3 linked regions of the Arabidopsis thaliana genome follow. The protein of the gene in region 1 interacts with the protein of each later gene in a pairwise test. Each region holds a gene or a part of one and is shown in the gene's direction. Other genes may lie near its edges.

The links. Proteins that work in one complex are often made in the same cells at the same time.
Region 2: the proteins of KAT3 (region 1) and SYP121 interact in a two-hybrid assay, tested with the Arabidopsis thaliana proteins (2 studies listed by BioGRID, with this or other methods).
Region 3: the proteins of KAT3 (region 1) and SAR1 interact in a two-hybrid assay, tested with the Arabidopsis thaliana proteins (one study listed by BioGRID).

What each region holds. Positions count from the first base shown.
Region 1 is NC_003075.7:15,749,867-15,757,416, reverse strand, and holds KAT3 (potassium channel protein), read left to right. Parts: upstream 1-2,369; 5' UTR 2,370-2,619; coding exon 2,620-2,879; intron 2,880-3,105; coding exon 3,106-3,321; intron 3,322-3,414; coding exon 3,415-3,576; intron 3,577-3,684; coding exon 3,685-3,742; intron 3,743-3,844; coding exon 3,845-4,162; intron 4,163-4,254; coding exon 4,255-4,494; intron 4,495-4,579; coding exon 4,580-4,678; intron 4,679-4,822; coding exon 4,823-4,855; intron 4,856-4,952; coding exon 4,953-5,141; intron 5,142-5,229; coding exon 5,230-5,313; intron 5,314-5,404; coding exon 5,405-5,483; intron 5,484-5,580; coding exon 5,581-5,727; intron 5,728-5,831; coding exon 5,832-5,935; 3' UTR 5,936-6,146; downstream 6,147-7,550. Other genes in the region: AME3 (Protein kinase superfamily protein), read right to left, coding at 7-55, 152-305, 398-424, 654-774, 932-1,021; AT4G32640 (Sec23/Sec24 protein transport family protein), read right to left, coding at 6,993-7,099, 7,327-7,358, 7,457-7,545. UniProt on the Arabidopsis thaliana protein: Probable modulatory (alpha) subunit of inward-rectifying potassium channels. Could mediate potassium uptake from the soil solution by plant roots in association with AKT1.
Region 2 is NC_003074.8:3,728,805-3,732,960, reverse strand, and holds SYP121 (syntaxin of plants 121), read left to right. Parts: upstream 1-1,709; 5' UTR 1,710-2,092; coding exon 2,093-2,666; intron 2,667-2,954; coding exon 2,955-3,421; 3' UTR 3,422-3,656; downstream 3,657-4,156. Other genes in the region: AT3G11830 (TCP-1/cpn60 chaperonin family protein), read right to left, coding at 1-116, 213-227; AT3G11825 (Bifunctional inhibitor/lipid-transfer protein/seed storage 2S albumin superfamily protein), read right to left, coding at 897-1,199; AT3G11810 (uncharacterized protein), read right to left, coding at 4,096-4,156. UniProt on the Arabidopsis thaliana protein: Vesicle trafficking protein that functions in the secretory pathway. Together with SYP61, regulates the post-Golgi trafficking of the aquaporin PIP2-7 to the plasma membrane, thus modulating cell membrane water permeability.
Region 3 is NC_003071.7:14,042,959-14,047,235, reverse strand, and holds SAR1 (synaptobrevin-related protein 1), read left to right. Parts: upstream 1-1,692; 5' UTR 1,693-1,898; coding exon 1,899-2,112; intron 2,113-2,564; coding exon 2,565-2,706; intron 2,707-2,799; coding exon 2,800-2,920; intron 2,921-3,112; coding exon 3,113-3,175; intron 3,176-3,301; coding exon 3,302-3,451; 3' UTR 3,452-3,777; downstream 3,778-4,277. Other genes in the region: RALFL18 (ralf-like 18), read left to right, coding at 404-715. UniProt on the Arabidopsis thaliana protein: Involved in the targeting and/or fusion of transport vesicles to their target membrane.

The sequences.
Region 1 (7,550 bases):
ACTTACAATGCAAATATGATTTCGGTAATCAAACCAGTTCTTCATCTGTACACAGCTGCAAGGACAAAGCAGAAATGAAGAAACTGAGCAATGATATACACCTCTGAAGGAAACGATGTCATCAACTAAAGTCTAGAAGATAAATAAATACCGTGTGCGGCCTTTATCACTCTTAACAAGTTTCTGAAGTACATCAATTTCAATCATTGCTGCATCCCGGTATTTCTTAATGCTTCGAATTATCTTTATTGCCACATATTCTTTTGTATCACGATCCCAACATTCCAAAACCCGACCAAATGTGCCTACAACACCAGCAAGTTCACTGAAATGGCACGATTTGATTCACATAAACATTTTTTTTATCTCGAACACACCATGCCACTTGACAGCTAACCTTCACCCATCTTGCTAAGTATTTTATCTGTCAAAAGTCAAAACAGAACACACAATAGCGTAAGTTAAGCAATTAAAAATGTTCAGGAAGGATTCTCATCCCAATGAAACGAAAGCGAAAAAAGATTATCCCTAAGGCAATGGTGCCAAACAAAACAAAGAGTTACTAGCAACAATACACATATAGAAGCAACATAGGTAAATATCTTAGCTCACATAGAATAGAAAGTTAGCAACTTTATCCATCAAAAACTCACATCTAGGAGTGAGATTGTCCCTCAAACTGAAAACATAATGACCATCACGATCATCGTCCCTTAATGGTGGTGACAAAATCCTCCCATCGCTTCCATGTCCTTTAATCACAGCCCTTTTAGCCTATCACAAAAAAGTCAAAATTCATTCATTGTCAGCATATCAAAATCTCACCAAAGAAACATAAATGCTCGGTCTTTCCTCCACATTCTAAACCCTAATTCGAAGTTCTAAATGTCAAAGATTAATTAAAAAAAGAAGAAGAAGAAAGAGGAGCAACCTCTGGTTCAGCTGGGGCCTCGTCCCAGGTCATACGAGGACGTTTCCTGACTCGTTCTTTATCCATACTCTCGAATCCGTTAGCTATCATCACCGACGCGGAAAATCGATCACCGACACATCCAGAACGGAATCTGATGCCAATCTGCAGCTAAAAGAGGGAAAATTTCTACCAGAAACTCTTTACGTAGATGTAATCACAAGGCGGCGAATCGGGGAGAAGGTGATAATCTCCGAAAATGGTGAAAACAGAGGAATTGCTAGGGTTTGGAACTAGAGAGAGTGCAAGAGAAAGACAACTCCCAATAATTTTACCGGCCAAATCCCTTGGGGTCGAACCGCGACGACATCCACCAATTGCATTTTTTTTGCACTTTCCACCGAAAAAATTGGGTCTACACGATCACCCGGAATGTTTCGCCCACCCGGCCCAAATGAAATGTGGTGAGATCTTCTTATAATCTTGGCCCAAATTTCCATCATGGATCTTAAACGTTCGTTTCATTGTTTCTTGGATTTTTTTTCATTAACTGGTCCATCTCAAAATGGGCTTCCATAAAAATGGGCTTTTTTACAAAAGGGTTTTGTTTCATTAATTGATTTTCGTGTTTTTTTATCCGTAACAATTATGCTTTCGTTTCCTAATTTATACGAGCAAACGTAAAAATGTATAGTATTTGACTATTTGGTTTTACGTATCAACAATCAACAACATACTGTACATCAGTACATACACAATTTTTTTTTAACATACACAAACTTACTTTATGTACAAATGAACTATTAAGAAATGGCTTTAGCCTTGTTATTGCATGCATCTTCTTAATTTGTGTATGTGAAATTCTTCATAGGAGCTAATTAAGGGACGAAGACAAAGTGTATCCCCCTTCATGTATTACCTAAACGTATCTTAGAATTTCAAAACATTGTTTTCCTTAGAATTTTTTAAAAAAATTGTAAACATGCACATCCAACACTGGAAAGTGGAAAGAAGTATATATATATGATATGTTATCTCAAAAAAACTGAAATGATTGTATTAAAAACATACTAAATTCTGACTGATGATAGATATTGATACGTAATTCATTTGTTTATTATTGTTCGTTTTGTTTTCAACACTACTATTCCTGTCACGGTCTCATTTAATAACAACAACAAAAAAGACGTCAAGATTTGACTTTTGAGTTCCTCAATTTTTTCAACTCCAGTATTTAAACAGCTAATTATTACATAATTTATCGTAAGAAAAAAAAAAAAAAAAACCTTATCCCCCTGATATTGTAGATCTCGATTGTAATCACTACACCTGATGCCACATTAAATACACACAGAGACGTAAATAAGAGTCAAAAAAGTCGATGAAGCCTTCTGCATATATAACAACAAAGTTGAATATATAAAGAGTAAAATTCATCATACTACAATCTTGAAAAATTATAATTTATTAGATGGTTAAGTAAATTTGTTTTATAGTATTGTTATATTCTTTTTTTCCAAAAAATATAGGGAAAACAAAAACCAGTAAAAAAAAAAGTCAACTTAATTTGCTCACCACCTTCTTGATCATCTAAACACCTCTTTAATAATTCAAAACTAAAAAAAAAAGGTATAAATGAAAGAGACAAAAGAGGGAAGTATATATCATCAAGCTTGAAGAAGAGAGAGAAGAAGAAGAAGGAAAAAAGAATGTCTACGACGACTACTGAGGCGAGATCACCGTTGCCGTTGTTGTTGAGAAGAGGAAGGTCTTCGACGGCGTTATCGGCGTCGACGGCGGAAGCAAGATCGCCGTTATCGATACTGCAGTTCAGAAGAAGATCGAGCAAAGATGTGAGGAACATAACGTCAGTTTCGAGCAGTCTCTTGCCTGCTTTTGGGACTTTCATCGAAGATGATAATCCTTCTTCCAAACCTTTCATCGTTCTTCACTTTGATCGTCGTTACAGGTTCATTTCTCACTAACTAAACAACGAAGAAATGTTTTTTGGTTATCAAACAATAAATAGTGATTTACAGATTTCATAACTTTTCTGTTTCTATTAGTCCATAAATTAATGATCAAATGATTCGTTCATTAATTTTCATATTTTTACGTCTTAAAATTGTTATTTCTTATTAATATTCATATATCTTAATTTTTTTTTAATCTTTCCATATAAAAATTAATGGTAGGTTGTGGGAATTGTTTTTGGTGATATTGGTTGGGTATTCGGCGTGGGCATCTTTGTTCGAGTTGGCTTTCGAGAAAGCTGCCGAAGGAGCGTTATTGACCATTGATCTCGTCGTTGACTTCTTCTTCGCCGTTGATATCATCCTCACCTTTTTTGTTTCCTACTTGGATAATACTACTTACCTCAATGTCACCGACCACAAGCTCATCGCCAAACGGTAACAAATCAATTTGTTTTTATATGTTAAAAAAATAACATAAGTAAAATGAATAAGTTAGAATTGAATTATATATGTTGTGCATTATTATAGGTACTTGAAGAGCGTGGCTTTTGTGATGGACGTAGCATCAACGTTACCCATTCAATTCATTTATAAAACTATTACCGGAGATGTCGGACGAGGCCAAGCTTTCGGCTTCCTTAATTTACTCCGCCTCTGGCGTCTCCGTCGTGTAGCCGAACTCTTTAAAAGGTTTTTTCTTTACTACTTTCTATATAATATGCAATATTGAAATCCACTTATCATATAGTACATATGTGTGTGTCTATTTTACACTTCCTTTCTTTCTTTTTTTAACAGACTAGAGAAAGACGCACATTTCAACTATTTCGTGATCCGAGTCATCAAACTTCTATGTGTAAGTTTTACTTATATTGAATTATCTATATGTGGTCCATACAATCACTAAATTGGCTATGTCAATCTATGACTTTTATTCAAATTGTGAAATTTGATTCAGGTAACGATATTTTGGATACATTTGGCGGGTTGCATTTTATACTGGATAGCCTACCATTATCCAAGGCCTACGGATACATGGATAGGATCGCAAGTTGAGGATTTTAAGGAAAGAAGTGTATGGTTAGGGTACACTTACTCAATGTACTGGTCCATTGTCACACTCACTACCGTGGGTTACGGTGATTTGCATGCAGTTAATAGCCGTGAGAAGACATTCAACATGTTCTACATGCTTTTCAACATTGGCCTCACTTCTTATATCATCGGTATCATGACCAATCTAGTTGTCCATGGCGCTCTTCGTACATTCGCCATGGTATATAATCATTCATTGCTTAAACCCGAAAAGATTGTTTACTCATTCATTTACTCTACCAGTCGTACAATAATCATTCTTCTGCTGAACAGAGGAGTGCGATCAATGATATATTGCGATACACAAGCAAGAACAGGTTACCGGATACAATGAGGGAACAGATGCTTGCACATATGCAGCTCAAGTTCAAGACCGCGGAGTTAAGGCAAGAAGAGGTTCTTCAAGACTTACCTAAGGCCATAAGATCAAGCATTAACCAACATCTATTCCGCTCCATCATCGAAGAAGCTTATCTTTTTAAAGGATTCCCCGAAGGCCTCCTCGTCCAGCTGGTGATCGTCCATCAACAATTCCATTTTCTTTTGTTCCTTGTTAAACAAGGCAGTGGTAATTCATTCTTCTATGTTGTTGTTGTAGGTTTCGCAAATACAAGCAGAATATTTTCCGCCGAAAATGGAGATAATCTTGCAGAATGAGATTCCAACGGATTTCTACGTAATTGTATCTGGAGGAGTGGTATGATATATCTATATATCCTCTACATACTCATTCATTTATCCCGAAAAGATTGTTTACTCATTCATTTATCCCGAAAAGATTGTTTACTCATTCTTATTTATATTTGACTTCAACTGATTAAAAGAAAATTTGCAATTTTAGGATATAATTGCTTCCAAGGGTGTGAGTGAACAGGTAAAACTCTGAACAAATTTCAGTTATAAGAAAAACACATTTCATAAACTTAAAAGATTGAGATAGAGTATGAAGAGTTGGTTGATAAATGGTGAAGGTATTAGCGAAGTTAGGTCCCGGAAGTATGGCAGGAGAGATAGGAGTAGTGTTCAACATTCCTCAGCCTTTCACAGTGAGGACACGTCGACTTTCACAAGTTATCAGAATTGGTCATCATAAGTTCAAAGAAATGGTGCAGTCTGATAATGACGTCGACGCCAAAATGATCATTGCCAATTTCATGACAGTAAGTTTACATTCACAAAACGGTAGTAACATCAATATAGTGTTTATATTGTAACACTAATAATTAATGTTTCTTTCTTTAATTTCAGTATCTTAAGGGATTGAATGATGAGTTAAAAAAAGAAATTCCTTTTCTTAGAGATTTATTAGATGACGCAGATGCTCAGGTTCAGGTATATATACCTTCTTATAACAAATAATGCATAGTCCTCTCGTCAAAATTGTCAAGTGAGTTTGAGATGAAAACGCATTTTTTGGTGACAGGAAACAGTTCAGTCAGAGGAAACACCACAAAGTAACGATGAGGAAATAGTTACGGTCTCAAGACATGAAAATGGACAGAGTAAGAAGACATTTTTTTTTGTTGAAGACAGAGTAAAATGAACATGTTTTTTTGTATGTATAGAGACCCTTTTTTTAACAATGACATTTGATTGCAGTAGAAGAGAGAAGAAGAGAGGGAGTTCCAAAAAGAGTGATAATTCATGGACAAGCTCCTCCTAATCAAGATAACAAAAACAATGGTGATTCCAACGGTAGACTTATCATTTTACCTGACTCTATCCAACTTCTATTCGACTTAGCTGGTCAGTTTCACTCTTATGATGTCACTTCTCTTTACTTATACATTGAAAGTTTTTTAAAATTTAATATACTTTATATTGAACTCATAAAACTATGGTGGATGCAGAGAAGAAGTTGGGGAAACGAGGAAGCACGATTGCAATGGCAGATGGTGCACATGTTGAACAAATTGATGCTCTTCGAGAAAACGATCATTTATATATTTTCTAATTCGTTTATAAATATATATATTCACAATTATCACTTCCCACACAAATAATGATACAAAAAAAACTATATTTTTGTTAGCGTAAGGTGCTTATGAAAAGATGCAAAGTCAGATATATGAAAATATAAGGTGAAGATCGAATTCCCAATTCCACTATTATGAACTTGCTTCTTATCTTTTTGACATCTTGAACTTAAAATTATGTTTGATTGAAGATTGCATTAGCATACAACAAAAGTACCATTGTTGCATACATTTTAGCATTTTCTCTTATTACTGAAACAATTCTCTTTAAAACATTTGCATCAACGGCTACTTATAAAGTAACTAAAAACCATAAAAGCAGTGAACACTGGAGAAGATTGACCTATCAATAATGGTGATGATCATTCTCAAATAGGGGGTCTCCTGTTCGATATTCGTCATTGGATGGCAAAACTATCCAACGTCACTCTTCTCCACGTCAATCGTGAACGAAATAGTGCTGCAGATAAGATGGCTCAATATGTTTTGTCTACTACTACTCTGTATCAGTCTTTTATTGTTCCTCCTCGTTTCTTACTCTCTTATTTGTATCAACCTTATACAATCTAATAAAGTTGTAGTAGTAGTTGTTAAAAAAAAAAGAAAATAACAATTATTTCATATTTTACACTGCATTGTACATCAAAGACTTTTATTTGTATATTCGGTAACAACCAACAAAAAAAAAAGTATTTGAAAGGAAATTCTTAGTTCGAAACTCAAATAACACAAAAAAATAACCATACAAAAAAGATTAGCTAAGGACTCTTTTGTATAATTCTTTATAGTAAAAAAAAAAAAAAAGACAAAACAACAGTGGAGACTATTATCTAAGTACAACTTTAAAATGTCGTGAAGCTTCTCAAGTTGAAGTAGTCTATGCTCTCTTTTCCTTCAAACAAGAAGAAAACTTCTCAAGCAGCCATAAGACCGATGCCCTTTCCCCTTCTGCTATGCTTTTCTACCGCAAATTCCGAACATGACACAGATGCAGATGGGAGGAAACTTCTGTAAGGACTCCTAGAAAACAGAGGATCAGTTCATTTTTAGCTGGATTTGGCGATGGACTTGCACGAGAAACTCCACATACGACGGGCCGCTTGCTGTCCTGTCCTCTACCATATACGAGAGAAACAACATTCCTGAAAAGTACCAAATATCATAAGAACAAATCAGCATCGACAAGGTTCTATGAAATCAACACCGAGTAAGCAAAAATAAATGTTCATTTCGCAAAATAATATTAGATGACAGGATCTAAGCTGTTACTATTAACGTAAGACTGATAATGTCGCAAACAAGAAAAGATAAATAACATGTATCCTTTGTAGTTAGTGCTAAGATTTGGAATCCGTCCATTATTACTCACCTGATGGTTCTCCCTTCTTGCACAATTTTATTCTGAGTAGATAAAACATAAAGACATTGGAAGGATTAGAGGCTGGAAAAGGTTCAGTTAGGAAATAAAAAAGACAGATACTGAGATTTTTGCTAGATACCTTAGGTAAGAACATCTTTGCCTCCTTATTTCATTCACCGCATCATTGAATTTCTTTGATAACTGATTATCATACTGCTGCAGCACAAACTATA
Region 2 (4,156 bases), on another chromosome or scaffold:
CCGAGCGTGGTTCGAACTACATCTCCAACAGCAGTGCAAGCGTTGATGTTGCTTACTAGTTGCGCTTTGCCCTGAGATGTGTCCGTCCCTTCCTTCAGCAGTATGATCTGCGGTTGCTGCTCATCAAACCAAAACCAAAGTAGTGGCACGTTAGTCAGTTTATAGCACAGAGAGTGAGATAGAGAGAGAAAGTGTGTGTAGATGCGACTTACCATCATCGATGCCATTGTAGATGCGTGACGAAGAGCTTCAGAGATGTGAAGAAAGTGAGAGAAATGGAGCAGAGAGAGAGAGAGAGGGGGGGAGTTAGGGTTTAGGTCTTCTGTTGTTCATATAGGAGCAACTAGATCGACCGATGTTCTTAGAACCGGACCGGCCGGTTGAACCGATAATTTCACTTAAAACGCAGCGTTTTATGGTCTGGACCCCACTTAGAAAGTCATAATTAAATTATTTAAAAGTTTCTCCATGCTTTTTTAATGGAGTTAAATTATGCAGACACAAAATTATGTAAAAATTGGCTTTCGACGCATATATTTGTTGATTTTTCACTTTTGCTCTGTTAATTTAGAATTTGGTAAACTCTAATGTGGAAAGGATGGCAATGGAGGTGGCTCTTTTGGGAGGAACTCAAAAGGATTATACTTTTTGAAGCAATACTTGTTGTTTGTAACTAAGCTACATGATAAATCAAAGTTTAATTAGTCATTAGTCTCTCTAGACAATTGTTCTTATATATTATGTGTTCTAACTTCTATCAAAACTATAAGGACAATTGACAAGTTATTAAACATAACGACTACAAAGTACAAACCATTAAACTACATAGTACAAATCTGATCAAAAATATGTTTGCTTTATTGTTGTTAATTATTTACTTTTATGTATCTATATATTTAACACTTGAACTCAGAGAATGCATCCTTTGGAAGACCACCACGACCACACGCATTGTTAACGTTGCGAGCAGCTATCTTTAGCTTGGGGGACTTGAGAAACAAACACATACATTTTTTTTTCATTATCATATTATAACAACAACGCTCATAAATGTAACCGTGAGTAAAGAATTCAGTTTTGTCTATGCACCATTGCATGTCCTTTTCACAATTACCCACACCACCGGCTACTTTGATGGGAGCCGGAAATGACGTCATGAATATGACCAAGGCAATGGACATCAATGGGATGATCTTCATGTCTGATTTATTAACCTACCAGCTGATGACAAAATATCTCAAATCAGGAACAATTAGTTTTGCAAAAATGTTGTATATTTTTTGTTTGTTTGAGATCTTTAAATAGGAAACTTGGAATCAACGATTTATACAACATATGGGTATCCTATAGATTAGGGAGGAAAGTGATTCTATTTTTATATGGTTGTTCATATTGAACATTTGACTTGTTCTTTATGTATATCGGTGTATGGTTGTTAGGATGTTGTATATCTTACAAATCGAACAATCGAAGTATTACAATTGCTTTCCGGTGCTCAAAGACTGGGCTATGGGTTTAGGCTTGGCCCTTTAACGGAGAAAAGCAAGGATTTGGTGGGCTTCTTTAAATTTGGTTCGATGGACGATTCTAAATTATGTAAATTAATTTGATATACAGTAACATTTTTGTTTTTTTAAATGTTTTCTGCTGAAGTCAATTTATCAATAAGTGTTTCGTATGGGCTAATGTATCCTTTGGATGATAAACTTAAAGTATCCAAAGCCGACAAAATAAAATTTTAAAAATCATTCAAATTACGAATGTTTTTTTCTTTCTCCAATTTATATATGATTTTGGGATCTGTTACCGTATATACTTACACGTACGGGACAAGGGCACACGGTTTCGCTTTCAACTTCACCTTCCCTTCTCCGCCATTGTTACTTTCTCAGAAGCTTCCAAGTCAACCAATAGAGACTTACTTGTTTGACTTCTTCCTCTCTTACCTCATAATCCTCCTTTTGGACTTTTCAATAAAACCGCCTACTTGAATCTGTACGACTTCTTCTCATTTTTCCATTCTTTAAGTCTTCCCGTTGATTCATTCCGATCTGAAATCTCTCTCTAGATTTCTCTATTTTTCGAATTTTAAATGAACGATTTGTTTTCCAGCTCATTCTCTCGCTTCCGCAGCGGAGAACCATCCCCTCGCCGAGACGTTGCCGGCGGTGGCGACGGAGTTCAGATGGCGAATCCCGCGGGATCAACCGGTGGTGTGAACCTCGACAAGTTCTTCGAAGATGTTGAATCTGTGAAAGAAGAGCTAAAGGAGCTAGATCGGCTCAACGAAACACTCTCTTCATGTCACGAGCAGAGCAAGACGCTTCACAATGCTAAAGCCGTTAAAGATCTCCGGTCTAAAATGGACGGTGACGTTGGAGTCGCGTTGAAGAAGGCGAAGATGATTAAAGTTAAACTCGAGGCGCTAGATCGTGCCAATGCTGCTAATCGGAGTCTCCCTGGCTGTGGACCTGGTTCTTCCTCCGATCGAACCAGGACCTCTGTCCTCAATGGTCTCAGGAAGAAATTGATGGACTCTATGGATAGTTTCAACCGATTGAGGGAGCTTATCTCGTCCGAGTATAGAGAAACTGTACAGAGGAGGTACTTCACCGTCACCGGCGAGAATCCGGATGAACGAACCCTAGATCGACTGATTTCCACTGGTTAGTTTAATCTTCCATTCAAATCACTTCCAGATTCAAGTAGAATCATCATCTAGGTTAACATATGATGACCAATTGGTTTCCGAACACTGATTCCAGGCTTCTTAGTATACAGTGTTGTGGTTGTGAAGAACAGTAACTTCAGATTTTGCGTTTAGACTATGAAAATGGATTTGTATATCTTATGTTGTGCTAGTTCCTAGCTGTTAGAGCTGGAATTGATCTCTGGATACTTAGACATGTTGTTACATGAGTGGTGGTGCGACATTGATACTGTTTTTGTTGCAGGAGAGAGTGAGAGATTCTTGCAGAAAGCAATACAAGAACAAGGAAGAGGAAGGGTGTTAGACACCATTAACGAGATTCAAGAAAGGCATGATGCGGTTAAAGACATTGAGAAGAATCTCAGGGAGCTTCACCAGGTGTTTCTAGACATGGCCGTGCTGGTAGAGCACCAGGGAGCTCAGCTTGATGACATCGAGAGTCATGTGGGTCGAGCTAGCTCCTTTATCAGAGGCGGAACTGACCAGCTACAAACCGCTCGGGTTTACCAGAAGAACACGCGAAAATGGACATGTATTGCCATTATTATTCTCATCATCATCATAACTGTTGTGGTTCTTGCTGTTTTAAAACCGTGGAACAACAGCAGTGGCGGCGGCGGCGGTGGTGGTGGTGGGGGTACCACTGGAGGAAGTCAACCAAATTCAGGGACACCACCAAATCCTCCTCAGGCAAGGCGTCTATTGCGTTGAAGTTGAAGTTGAAGTTGAGTTTCGTTATTTGCATATATATTCTTTCTTTGAAAAACCTTATTATCAAACCAGCTTTGTGTTACTACTTTCTACTGCTGGTTTGTTGTTAATCTCCCGTTTATTTGGTTTTTGTGAAAGAATTTAAAATGTGGGTTAGATGAGAAAATTAGTACAACATTCTCTTGTATCTATGTTTGCTATATGGGTTATATTTACTTGATGTGATTTCAGGGTTTATCGTTTCTTGTTCTATTTGGTTGAAGTATATGAGCCATTTCAAACCAAACGAGGTAATACCAACCGATAACACAAAAACTTCATTAGTCTTGGCATTTTCCAAGTTCGAATATGATACTAAATCTAGACTTTGATGCTATGATTTGTTCTGGGGTGTACTCTTAACATTTTGTTGACTTTTCAGTTGACTGATATGTTGATCCTACTGTGATACTTTTCTTTCTTTTTTTTTTTTTTTTTTTTAATCCCAATTCTGATTCAGATTACAGAAGTTTTCAAGTCTCAAGAACAGTAAAGAAGATCAATATACGTACAAGGGTTACAAACTTGCATTATCATACAAGAAGACCAGTTTTCCAAACACTACCTTAAAACATAACAACAAAACAAACAAGATCATCATCATCATCATCATCATCATCATCATCATCATTTCATCAGATGTTGTTGTAAGCTACAGAGACCAAGTGAGGAACTTTACCATCATCAAAAGGCAAG
Region 3 (4,277 bases), on another chromosome or scaffold:
TAAGACGTTATAATCATGTTCCAATGCATCCCCTCAGTTTTGTGTTAAAAACGAGCCATCAATGTTATCATATATGGAAATCATTATTGAGGCTTTGACCAATTAATTATGCGAATTGACCGACTTTGATCACTATACAGAGCAAAACAAATCCACTGAATCATTTATTTGTGTAGGTTCATCTTTTTTGGGCACCGTATTCATTTCTTATTCCATGAATTTGACGGAGTAATTTTGATTTTCTTTTTCGAGTAAGAATCTGGTCAAATATTCGATGAACCTCTACAAAAAAAATTAACCTCTATAAAAGTGTAGATTAACCAAGTGTTTCATCACAAACCATTTCAACGTAAACGAAACAACAACTACTACTCTCAACTTTACACTCTCTTGATAAGTCTCGATGATGAATAACATGAAGCTCTTGATCATCGCTGTGATGATCATCTCGGCAGCTTTGCTTCCAGCGCTTGTGGTCGGATCTCGTCCGGTAAAATGTGACAATTGCATGGACGGTGGAGAAAAAGAAGAGATCATGAAGATGAGTTCAGGTGTAGATGTGAGCCATAGGATACTTCAAGCTAAGAGATTTATAGATTACGAAGCATTGAAGAAAAACTTACCAGCCAAACCAGATGGTAAACCGGATAAACCGGATAACAAATACCGACGTGGTTGCAGTGCCGCTACAGGATGTTACCGCTTTACAAATTAAACATAAACCACCTCTCTCTTCTTCTTCTTCTTCCTTTCGTTGGTGTGTTTTATTTTATTTTTAATTAGTATTTCCAATCACATTTCTTATTATTATATTTTATTGCAATTTGTAAGCCTTTGAGGCATTATCTCCTAGAGAGTTAGAATAAACTTCGTTTAGAAATTGTCATCCTTTTCTCACCAAATGATTGACGAGTGAAAATTGATCTCATCGTAAAGTATTTTTGCGGTCAAGTTCAAACAAATTGATCCCTTCTCTCGCACCATATTCTTGTTTTATTTTATTTAAACGATCGATATATTTCCAAACCATTCCTCCAAAACTATCACACATTCACACCTACCAATTTCAACTTTAAATACAAAATATAGTCTTGTTGTAAATATAAGATACACTTTAGAAGTGTACACGTGAAATTCAGGTATATATATTACAATAGTAAGCAACCTCTAAGTACAATTAAATCAAGAAAAAAATAGATTTGAATTAATAGGAGCGGACATGGGATGCATGTAGAATTGTAGATTATCATTTATTATGGTGACTAGACCATTGAACTTTCCTATAACTTTGAAAATATTCTTATTTAGTCATTTAATTTAGATTACACCAAAACCCCAAATATGCCAAATTTTCTACAAATACCCCAAAAAAGACAATTTATAAAATTATTATCCAACCACATGTAATAATCTTTGATGACTTTTAAGTTTTAAATTTTAATAGTAGATTTAGATAATATAGGAACCAATTATTCAAAGGTCAAAGTTCAAACTAGCTTATCCAAATTCATTTTCGCTGATAAAAATACGTTGAAACTATCAAATAACAAAATACCATTACACCAACATCACCAACTTTTTAAAACCCCACAAGTTGATTATTTGAATTTGCTTTTAGGTCCTCAAGTTCAAGATTGTTTCAATTTGCACAATCTGCATAAATCTTTCTGAAATATAACTTTTTTGCCCTCTAAAACTCAAGGGTTTGATTTTTCTTCTTCAACTACGTTAAGATTTCTCCTACACTTTTCTTTTTCACCGTATTCTCTTTTAGTCCTCGATTCTCTACGCGTTTCAGCGTCAAGTCTTCTAGATCTCTAAAGCCTTCGTGCTCGCCAATATAAATCTCTGAGATCGGTCCCGTAAAATCGGATTCGCGTCGTTTTTGAGTAAAAAAAATGGCGCAACAATCGTTGATCTACAGTTTCGTCGCTCGTGGTACCGTTATCCTCGTTGAGTTCACAGATTTCAAAGGCAATTTCACATCAATCGCTGCTCAGTGCCTTCAGAAGCTTCCTTCTTCTAACAACAAGTTTACCTACAACTGCGATGGTCACACGTTCAATTACCTCGTCGAAAATGGATTCAGTGAGTCAAAATATTGCTCGATCTGTAAGCGTAGCTTGTTTGTGTTTTGATTTATCCATTGTTTGAATTAGATTTTTTGCCTAATTGAGAAATATGAATCGAGTTCTTATGTTTGGTATAGTTTCCAGTAATAATTATGTATTGGCGTTGATAATTAATTGATGTTAGATCTATGGTAATCAGTGATATTTTTGGTGGATCTATCAATGAATATTTGCAATTTTTGTTCTGGATCTATTGATTCTTTGCTTATTTGCGTGTAGCTTTCGATATCATGAAGTTTTTGGCATTAGTGTATTGTGTTCTTTATGTAACTCTGTTTTACTAAACCTAATTGGGTTTTGGGTGATGTTGATGGCGGATATGGTCTCTTTATGATAGTGTTAACTTTCTTATCAGCGATATATTGATGAATCTATTGCTTTATCTCTTAATATAGAGTTTAAAATGGACCGGTTTTGTTTTCGTTTGTGCAGCCTATTGTGTTGTTGCAGTTGATTCTGCTGGGAGGCAGATTCCTATGGCTTTCTTGGAACGAGTTAAGGAGGATTTCAACAAGAGATATGGTGGTGGAAAGGCTGCAACTGCTCAAGCAAACAGCTTGAATAAAGAATTTGGGTATGTGTTTTTTGATCTCTTTGATTGGTATTGAAAAGGGTCTATGATTCATGGGCATAGTTATTGATGGACTTCTTTTTGGCTTCTCTAAAGGTCGAAACTGAAAGAGCATATGCAGTATTGCATGGATCATCCTGATGAGATTAGCAAGCTTGCTAAGGTTAAAGCTCAAGTGTCTGAAGTTAAAGGTGTTATGATGGAAAACATTGAGAAGGTTTGATTCTGACCCTTTTTTCTTTTTATCGATATAGTTTTATGTTGTAAACCTTTTCGAACAGAGTTCAGCTTGTATGACTTTAGTACCAGGATCTTATGATTCGTAAAGCATAAACTGTAGAGAGGAATGTTTTATTCTCGGTTGTGAAGACATATTCTGTTGTTAACTCGTTTATGCATTCGTTTGCAGGTTCTTGACCGTGGTGAGAAGATTGAGCTTTTGGTTGACAAAACAGAAAACCTTCGCTCACAGGTTTGTTTTCTAAATGGTTCAAAGTCAATAGACCCACACAGAGACATGCAAGAGTTTGCAGCTTTCTCTTACTGATTGTTGTTTCTTGGGTTTCTAACTTTAAATTTGAACTCGACTTTATCACAGGCGCAAGATTTTAGAACACAAGGAACTCAAATGAGAAGAAAGATGTGGTTTCAGAACATGAAGATAAAGCTCATTGTCCTTGCAATTATCATTGCCTTGATTCTCATCATCATCCTCTCAATTTGTGGGGGATTCAACTGCGGTAAATAAGTCTGGAACATTTCTTCCCGGCGTTATCGACTGCGCTCTGTGCTTCCCAAGATCTCTGAGAATATCTTCATTCAGTTCGTTGTGCTACCTTTTTGTTTTGTTTTTGTTTTTGTGATTTCTATATTCTCATACTATATGTTTCTTCTTAGATTGTACTTCTTGAAATTTGTTTTGTATAGGCTATATATATTATACATATATGTATGCATGTTCGACAATCTGCAATGTTGCTATTGCTGGTACTGACACTAATTCTTGCAAACCAATATTTGGACGATACTTGTTCTTGGCAATTTACTAATTTCTTTGGTCTGTTGATGAGACTCTAGTTGCGGATTGCAGTGAGGTATAAGCATAGTCCACAGCCGGTTAATATTAAATGGAGATGAATATGTAATTAACACGGTTTCGTCTGACCGATTCACCAGAGTCTCCGGTTAGTTCATTAAGGGTTTGCTCAAACGCTTTCTCCTCTGCTTCCCTAATTTCGGAAACATTCGCCTGATTTTCTGAGATTTTGGAATTTCTTCGAATTGATTGCCATGCTGAGCTCAAGATTTCGACTGCTGAAATCGAGGCGACTTGCGGAGCCACCTCCGGCTGATGTCGCGGTTATGTGTATTTGCAGGAAATGAAAGTGATCTCCTTATTGCGGCAAATCAGCCACTTCCTGTCGACTAAAACTGTGGTGCAGCATGTAAGAACAAATGCAAGTTCGGACAAACGTGTTGTCTTGGTCAGTGGTTTTACTTGGCTTAGTCTTCGATTCTCTACGCGTTTCAGCGTCAAGTTTTCTAGATCTCTAAAGCTTTCGTGCTCGCCGATA